Tribolium castaneum: one gene and its partner. The protein of the gene in region 2 binds, or shares a complex with, the protein of the main gene of each other region. Links are inferred from orthologs where the notes say so. Each region holds a gene or a part of one and is shown on either strand. Other genes may lie near its edges.

Region 1 (3,823 bases), on a different chromosome or scaffold from region 2:
AGTCACCCGATATATTATTATTGTTGAATATCAGAAATACGTGTGTTAATTTTAACACGTAATAAAACTCATCAAATACAACAACTTTTCTATAAACATTTGCAAAATTCTTATTAATTCTTATTTATAATTTACACTGTTTTTCTCCTTTATTTTGTGCTAACGAGTCGGTCACTGTTTAATAATTAGTTTGTATTCATCGCAACAATTTTTATTGTTGTTTAAAATTGTTTAAATTGTCCGTTTCTATCACAACGAAAATAGTTCTTCTCTATTATTTTTATACACATAGGCGGGTACACGTTTCAGTATGTTATCTTTTTCCAAATTTTAAGTAAATTTGCGATATTTTTTTTAAATTACAAATTACAAAGATATTTTATTTGTTGAGCTCTGTTACCTTTTCAAATTAAGTATTTCTTAAATATTTCTGATACAACTTGTAGTTTGTCAGTTGATAACAAAGAGAAGAGTAGTTTTTGTACTCATCTGCAAATGTCGCAAACTAGTCCTAATACCAAATAAACACAACGTTACAATACATTCATATACCAACCTGTCCTACCAGTCGCAACGCCTGGCTATACCCCTGTGAGCCCTGCACCTGTGACGGCCTCTTTGAGAACCACAAACAGTACGGATGTTGTAATCGATGTTCACCGGGAGGATACTCAATAGCCCCTAAGTCACTGATGTAGGGCCCCACTTCGTCGTCACCACTGCCACTGTCCGAGTTTTCCGCGTGGTGTTTCAAGCTGGCCACCAAACAAAATAAACATCGAACAATGAATGAAACAAACACTTACGGTTCGTATTTGTTTGACATGGTGCCGGCTGTAGGGGGGTTATTTACGTTATATACCATCAAATTAATTATCACAGAACTTTTCTATAGCTTTAAATCACTTTTTTCAAAGCTGGAGTCGTATAAGTAACTGACACTTTTTGTTAACCTTGTTTGGCAGGGGTGCCACTTTTTCTTTGACGTTTCATAAATGTTGAGAGGATTTAAAGTGACGAACTTGAACAACACGGAAATCAATTACGTGTGAAATGTTCGGCAAAAATTTGAATTACACAGTTTACCAATAAAGGGCACGAAAACATAAATTTTATTTAACTGTATGGCGTGGTTAGGTTGGTGGTTTGAATACACTAAACAGAAATTCAGCGCTAAATTTAAAATTAAAACAACCATCGTTTGCACTAGAGGATTTTGGCCTCTATTTTTAAAGTAAGTTTATTTAAAAAATAAAAATACCAAGATTTTTTAATCTGTTTTTAAGTTTTGCACTACAGGGTCGCGAATGGAGTTGGGTTATTGATTTGTTATTATATTTTTATGCAACCAATAATACTAAATCCAGCTGTTCAAATCAGGAGTAAATTAGAAAATTACAAAATTAATCCACAATTGAGCATTTCTCAACTTTGTCTTGACATTTTCGTCAAATTAATTTGTGGGTAATTTAAGTTTAGTTTACGTAATTCTAACAATTCCGAAATAATTTCTTTAATTTTTTAAAAACTCGAAGAAATTTTAATTTCTTGTAATACGTACCAGATAATTGCAAAAAGATTTCTATTATAAATTTTTTTAACAATTACAAAAAGAATTACACTTATTCAGAAAAAAAATCAATAATTCAAGTAAGAAAATTCGAAAAAATATTACCGTAATTCCGGTAATAAAATAAAACATACAATGTACGTTTCTAATTCTAACTTACTCCCAATAATTCCAAATTAATTTATTGATTAATTAATTTTAATTCCGATAGTTCTAGGACATTCTACGTAAATTTCATTGCATACACATTATCCCGAATAATTATTTCCTGTAATTCTAAACTAATTCCAATAAAAAAAAATTATCGTTATTTATTATTTGCAAGGAGAAATATTTCCAATAATTTCAGAAAAGATTTTAGTACTAGTACCTAATTTAAAAAGAATTTAAAAAATAATTCTAGAAAGTTTGAATAATAAAAATTAATTGTAAATTATGGTGTTTCTAGACTGTAGATTCTTTCTAGTAATTCCAACTTAATTCCTGTAATTCCTACTTAAGTTTTGTAATTTCTTTAATGTTAATTGAATTTACTATAATTATAGTCTAGAACTATGCTAAGAAATTTTACGTAATTTCATTACGTACAATTACAATAATTTTAAAAGAATTTCAAATTCAAATATTTTCTGTAACTCCCATAAAGTCCAAAAATAATTTTAATAATGTCAAATACAAACTGCTAAATCATATTAAGCAAATCCGAATGAGTTTCAATTTGTTTGAAGCTAAAAGCAATAACATTGTTAAAATAAATCAAAAATTCATCGTGAATAAATTATAAATTGTAGGAGTAAATTAATAGTTATTTATTTAATGAGTTTGAGTGTAAATCGGACGCTTTAAACCACGAGTGAAAACGAGTGGTTTATCATCCACGAGGCGAAATGAACTGATTTACACAAAAACGAGTTGAATACAACATTTTATTCTTTTAATTACACTCAGCAAGGCTTAGAATTGCTTTAAATTTGTTAAAAATAATCTGACGTTTCGTACTGAGAAATGCCAAACAGTTGTCAAAACTTCCTTACACAGGAGAAAAACCGTAAATTTTGACAGTGTCGAAGAATAAATATTATTAACATTAGTTTAAGAGTCGTGTTTTTTTTTTAATATTTATTTCCAATACGCGTTTACAACAATATTTGCAACAAAAAAATTCCGATTACCTTGTTGTTTTAGGAAATATTTGACTTTTACTTGAAACACGGAAATAATGTACAGAGTGTGCCAAGACGCAAAAAGTTGAATAACACTTTTTTTTATTATTAAACACCATATATTTTTTTACATGTGTCGATAGCATTTTTTTATAAGCTTCCTATTAATATGCGGTTTCTATAGCAAATTTACAATATTTCTTAAAGTGTTTAAAAATATTTTTTAGTTATTTTATTAATAATTCTTGATGAGTGAAATTCATTTATGTATTAGGTAATAATTAGATTACTAATGTAATAAGTCACATTAGTACATAACAAAAATTTAATTACTATTTGACTATCAGATTCTAGACTAACAAATTTTATTATAATAAAATATACTTTATTTAAAAATCTTGAAAAATATTTTAAATTTTTTATGCAAATTCTATATCATTAGAAAGCTTAGCAAAAATGCTATCGATACATAAAAAAATCATGGTGTTCCATTTGAAAAAAATGAGTTATTCAACTTTTTGCGTTTTGTCACACCCTCTGTATTATCTGCGTGTTTTAAGTAAATGTCGACTGTTTGCTAAGACTACAAGGTATTCTAAGTTTTTCTGATAAAAAATTATCGGAAAATATTCATAAGCGACTTCGCAGTGATTTTTCAAATTTTTTTAAAACGAAAAGTTGAATAATTCCAAAACGAAAAGAGATAGACATATTATAGTTTATATAAAGCTATATTATTTTTTGCATAAAAATTTGCATAAAAATGGTGTTCCATTAAAAGAAAATATAACTTGGGTTTAACACTCTGTATACAATACCCTGTGTATAATAAAATATTTTTAGTTTGTGGACTTTAGGACGATGTATTGGATAATAAAAACAGAATAGCAATATTTCTATTACCAATAACTTATAGACCGAATACACACTCCTGGGTCAACCTGTATCTCTAAATTACTTTTTAAATTGGTTTGAAGATTGCTATTTAAAAAAGGCTGTTAGACCTTGTTTTACACTTGTTAAAATCATAATGGTATAAAAGCGGCACAGTTTTATATTTTTTATAAATTTTTAAAATGTGAGGTGTAAA
Region 2 (4,533 bases):
TTAAAAGATTTAAAAAGTTTAACTTTATAGTTTTGTAACCTAGACTTGTTTATAAAAGTCTATGCTAAATTACTGTGGTTATGTGAGATTGACTTTTAGGTGTTTTTAGTAACATAATTACTAGGAGTTGTAGAAAATCAACCATAATTTTAAACTTTTTTTTAAACTGCAATAAATTTATCTAGAAATTATTTCAAAAACGTTAGCAAAAAAAAACAAACACTCAAAACTTAAGAAAAGTTTTAAATAAAAGCCGTGCAGTTCCTGAACGTACACTCTCTAGTGTAAACTTTTAAAATTTCGGCGGTGTAAGTCGCTCTTTAAATGAGCAAAATTGTTCAAACACTAATGAATTAATTCAAATTACGCTAGGACGTGGACGCAAAGGAAATGAAATTGCTGTACATTCAGTAGTCCTCTTTCAATTTTCTTCTAAATAAGTAATTATAAATTTGACAAGTAAAAAAAAGCATTAAAATTAATTTTTAAAAAATTCCAATATAATTAATGAAGTAATCCAAGGTATCGGTGAGATAAAAATCAAATTACAAACAAGGAAAAGGCACAATACATATAAATAAAAGAATACTATTGTTCTATTAAATACAGGGTGTAACGAAAAGATGGGGACAACAGAGAACCAAAGACTTCCCACAGCTCAAAATAGAGCAATCTAAACTAACTTACCAAGTTGTACTGTTTAAAAGTTAGAGGGCGTCAAAGTTGAAAAATTATTATAGATTTTTATTAGTAACTTCAAAATACAGACTGATCCAAAAATACTGAGTAACAACACATTTGAAAGTATTTGTGCTCTTAATTTGCAACATTGCAACCGAATTCGATTTTTCTTGACAATTATTTAACGTACAACCCCACAAAAATGTTAAACTGTTGTTAACTGGAAGCCTACTTCATTGGTATCCTTAAAAATTTAAGTATTTAAGTCCAGTGTTGCCAACAGACTCAGTATTTCTGGATCAGTCTGTAGAATAAGCAGTTTTGATGAAATTTGAACTAATAATTTGTCATCAAAACCACATGTTTCGGTCCTATTTTTTTTGTTTTTTTTTTCTTATTGTAAAGTATTTACCTATGATATATTCTTGTTATACATTATCTGAATAGTCTATTTCTCTTTTTTTTTTCAAAAAACCTATTATTTCGGAACAATTTTTGTACCTTATAAAATTTTTGTATCGGCCGTGGTTTTGGAATAAAAACATAATTTACACATAGTACATCTTTATAAAACAACATTTTCAATTATATAATCTTTTTCATAAAGTTTATAGTAATGATCCAGACTTTCAAATCTTCCACCTGTACATTTTACAGTGTAGCCAATTCAAATCAAAAAAGAACACTGATTAGAAATTTAACTGATTCCTTTGCACTGCACTTTTGCAGAACAATTTCTTAAAAAAACTAAAACTCAATCAAAATTTTATAGATATTTTAAAAATATTTATGTTTATTTTAAACACATAAACTGTCTTCTAAATAAAAAATTAGTTCGTAATTTTTTAACAAAAACAAAAAAAAAACACACCTCTTTATACTTATCACTGTCCTCCGACCTCGAGAGCGACGTGGTAGATTTGGAAGAGGATAACGACGGGGGATTACCCCGATTCGGAATATGTTGTTGTGAGGTGGACTTTTGCAACATATCCCTCTTATCCCTTTTGCCATCCTAATCGAAAAAAACAAACATTTATAAATGAAAATTTGAAATAAATTTGGCAACATTGAAATCTATTTTCTTAAGTATTGCCAACTTAATTTATAAGCACTTGGATTGGAAACTGACCTGTTCATCGTCTGACCCGTGAAACGCCCCTCTTTCATCAAACGTGCCCCCGCCTTCCGTGGGGTTTTCCGTGGCCCACTCCGGCAGATGGTCCTCGTTGTCCCAAGACCTCCGTAACGGAGCCCCCCTGTTATTCTCATGCCAATTGGCCCGAGCCCCCCTTTCGGGAGGCCCATTCCTTTCCTCCGAGTCCCCCTCCCCTCGCCAGCTCGCCGAGCGGCCCCATTTTTCATGCAAAGCCCTACCAGAGCTGATATTGCGCCAGCCATCATCCTCTTCATTGTTATTCCTGACTCGGCGCCAATTATCGATAAGCGCCGACCTGGAGGCGAATTCTTTGCGGGGGCTCCAGTCGGGCTGTTCCCCGTTGCCCCATCCGCTGTCGTATGACGAAGCCGCGCGGCCGTAGCCCTGATAACCCCCTCTGCCTCTGCTAACGCGCCCCCCGCGCTCTAGCGAGCTGCCTCTGCCCCGCGGTGCCCCACTGATGCTCGTGGGGCGGCTCTGCCAGCCCCTCTGCTCCTCCTCGGTGGTTGGGAGGAGGGCCAGGGGGACCATTGTTTGTTCCGAATATAGCGTTTTAAAAGTGAGGAGGGACGCGGGGGGCTTTGCATTGCGCTCAAACAGTGCGAGCATTTCTTCTCTGCCGTATCTTGAGAGGACATGAAGTGAGGGTTTTTCGAAATTTTTTACTCACCTATACTCTGCCAACTGATACCGCGAGCCACCACTCGGGCCTCCGCCCCCGGTGGTGCCTTCCGATCGAAGGTTGCGGATCCACGCCGGACCAAAATTCATTGAGGAATCGGTCATACTGCAACAGAACGGAGATTTCATAACTGAATAAGCCATATTTTAGACTAAAATGGAGGTGACTATTTATAGCAAAATACCAGATCACCGCTAATCAATGTCGCTGAAGATGTGGGCTCAAACTTCGAAACCCAGCGAATTTATAACTGTATCTGGAAAGCATGAACTCGACACAAAAGCCCCAGGCTAGGTCTAGCTGGCACTTGAAAGTGACAACATTGTCGGGTTTATGCAAGGATTTGCCCCGAAAAAAGCTACTTTCTTTAATCAAAGTTACATCCGTTGTCGGTATTTTTGCATTTCTTTACTCGATAAACTGGCTGTTACCTGATTATAACGTTTTACACTTGATAATATGCTATCAACATAAATGGCTGAAGCAAAATTGTAGGTTAACGCGCATGTGCTCAATTGTCAAACAATAGCAAAACGCAAAAAACCCTACATTTCAAATTTGTTTTGAACCACATTTTTTTAAACAAAAATTAATTAGGAACAAGTCGCCAACCCAACGCTAATGCGCTCAACATTTTATTCGAAAACACACATTCTACTATTTTCAAAAAAACATTGCAAGAATTTTCAATAAACTCATTAAAATAATTGAATGAAAGCGTTTTTGTTTTTTGATTGTATATCTAAACACAGTCTTAACTTCTTTCGGCACTGTTTTTGCTTTAGACTTAAATGATCATTGTTTTTTAATTATTGACGCAATTATTTTTTTGGCAATTTTTAATTATAAGATAACAATTCAAAATTACTTTCCAAGGCAAGGTATCCCAGCTGTTTTATTACAATTAAGCACAGCTTCTATGTGATAACTGATTGATAAGAGAATAAGAGATTATTTTTTATTGCGTTATTATTAATTATTATTGAGTCCTGAAAGTGTTGTTAACTTTTAGTTTGTCTGATTTACTTTTTTCTAGATTATAAAAATGTTTTGTTTAGTAAACACGCAAATGGTTTTTGGGTTTCATTAATTAATTCAATTTGCGCCAAATAATTTAAAACCCACGTTGCGTCTACGGTTACGTGCTGTAAACAAAAAAGTCACGACGGTGATCGTTTCTTGTCGTTTCGTCTTCGTCTCAGTTCGAACCATTAATTTGAAAGGTGTGTTTGTGCTTTTTCCGATTAATTTTTGAATAAAAACCCAACTTACAAAAAAGTACATTTTGTTTAAAGTGAGTAGGAACAAAATGTGTTTATTTTGACTTGTGGGCACAAAATACCATCAACTTCTCTATACTTCCTCCATGTTATTATTACAGAGCCGGCTCTAGAATATTCCACCATAACCATGCCTGAACCTATTGATATTTCCCCAAATCAAGACAAGGGAGTCCTCAAGGAAATCCTTCGGGAGGGTACAAGTGACGAATGCCCTCCACCTGGATCCAAAGTCAGAGTTCACTACACTGGAACTCTAACTGATGGCACAAAATTCGACTCTAGTAGAGACCGGAATGAGCCTTTCGAGTTTGATTTGGGCAAAGGTACGGTTCGTGTTTAAATAAACCAAAGTTAAATGATTATTTTGCACACAGGGAGTGTGATTAAAGCATGGGATATCGGTGTGGCCACTATGAAAAAGGGGGAGCAAGCTATGCTCACATGTGCCCCCGAATACGCCTACGGCAAGTCTGGCAGTCCTCCAACTATTCCACCAGACGCCACGCTGAGATTTGACGTGGGTATTAATTTTTTAACAAGCTTGAGTTAACTGTTTTGTTTAGGTTGAAGTAATTAGCTGGAAATGTGAGGATTTGAGCCCCAAGAAAGACGGGGGCATTGAAAGGGCCCAAATTAAGGCGGGTGAAGGGTACACGTACCCCAACGATGGGGCCACCGTTGAAGGTAAATATATAGTTTACTTGGATTCAATTTTTCTGATTGCCACA

The links.
Region 1: the proteins of Gyf (region 2) and eIF4EHP are in contact, whole or in part, in a crystal structure (PDB 5NVM), measured with the Homo sapiens proteins. The link is inferred for Tribolium castaneum from reciprocal best matches to the Homo sapiens genes GIGYF2 and EIF4E2. Residues at the interface, in NP_001096616.1 of Homo sapiens: Leu38, Ala39, Asp40, Tyr41, Arg42, Tyr43, Gly44, Arg45, Met48, Leu49, Leu51, Phe52, Leu53, Asn56, Lys57, Ile58, Pro59, Asp61, Leu62, Asp64, Glu66, Phe67, Pro69, Ile70, Leu71, Gln72; in NP_004837.1 of Homo sapiens: His54, Pro55, Leu56, Gln57, Tyr64, Arg66, Asn81, Lys83, Gln84, Ile85, Gly86, Thr87, Val91, Glu92, Phe94, Trp95, Arg96, Phe97, Ser99, His100, Met101, Val102, Leu107, Phe113, Glu149, Asn150, Leu153, Leu156, Gly157, Glu158.

What each region holds. Positions count from the first base shown.
Region 1 is NC_087400.1:16,080,491-16,084,313, forward strand, and holds part of eIF4EHP (eukaryotic initiation factor 4E), read right to left. Parts: exon of another isoform or gene 3,539-3,823; intron 2,569-3,538; coding exon 2,561-2,568; intron 1,155-2,560; exon of another isoform or gene 866-1,154; coding exon of another isoform or gene 807-865; intron 756-806; coding exon 557-755; intron 1-556. UniProt on the Homo sapiens protein: Recognizes and binds the 7-methylguanosine-containing mRNA cap during an early step in the initiation. Acts as a repressor of translation initiation.
Region 2 is NC_087402.1:10,002,098-10,006,630, forward strand, and holds the start of Gyf (GIGYF family protein Gyf), read right to left. Parts: upstream 3,065-4,533; 5' UTR 2,954-3,064; intron 2,628-2,953; 5' UTR 2,627-2,627; coding exon 2,511-2,626; intron 2,466-2,510; coding exon 1,814-2,465; intron 1,697-1,813; coding exon 1,553-1,696; intron 1-1,552. Other genes in the region: Fkbp59 (FK506-binding protein 59), read left to right, coding at 3,933-4,128, 4,180-4,322, 4,369-4,489. UniProt on the Homo sapiens protein: Key component of the 4EHP-GYF2 complex, a multiprotein complex that acts as a repressor of translation initiation. In the 4EHP-GYF2 complex, acts as a factor that bridges EIF4E2 to ZFP36/TTP, linking translation repression with mRNA decay.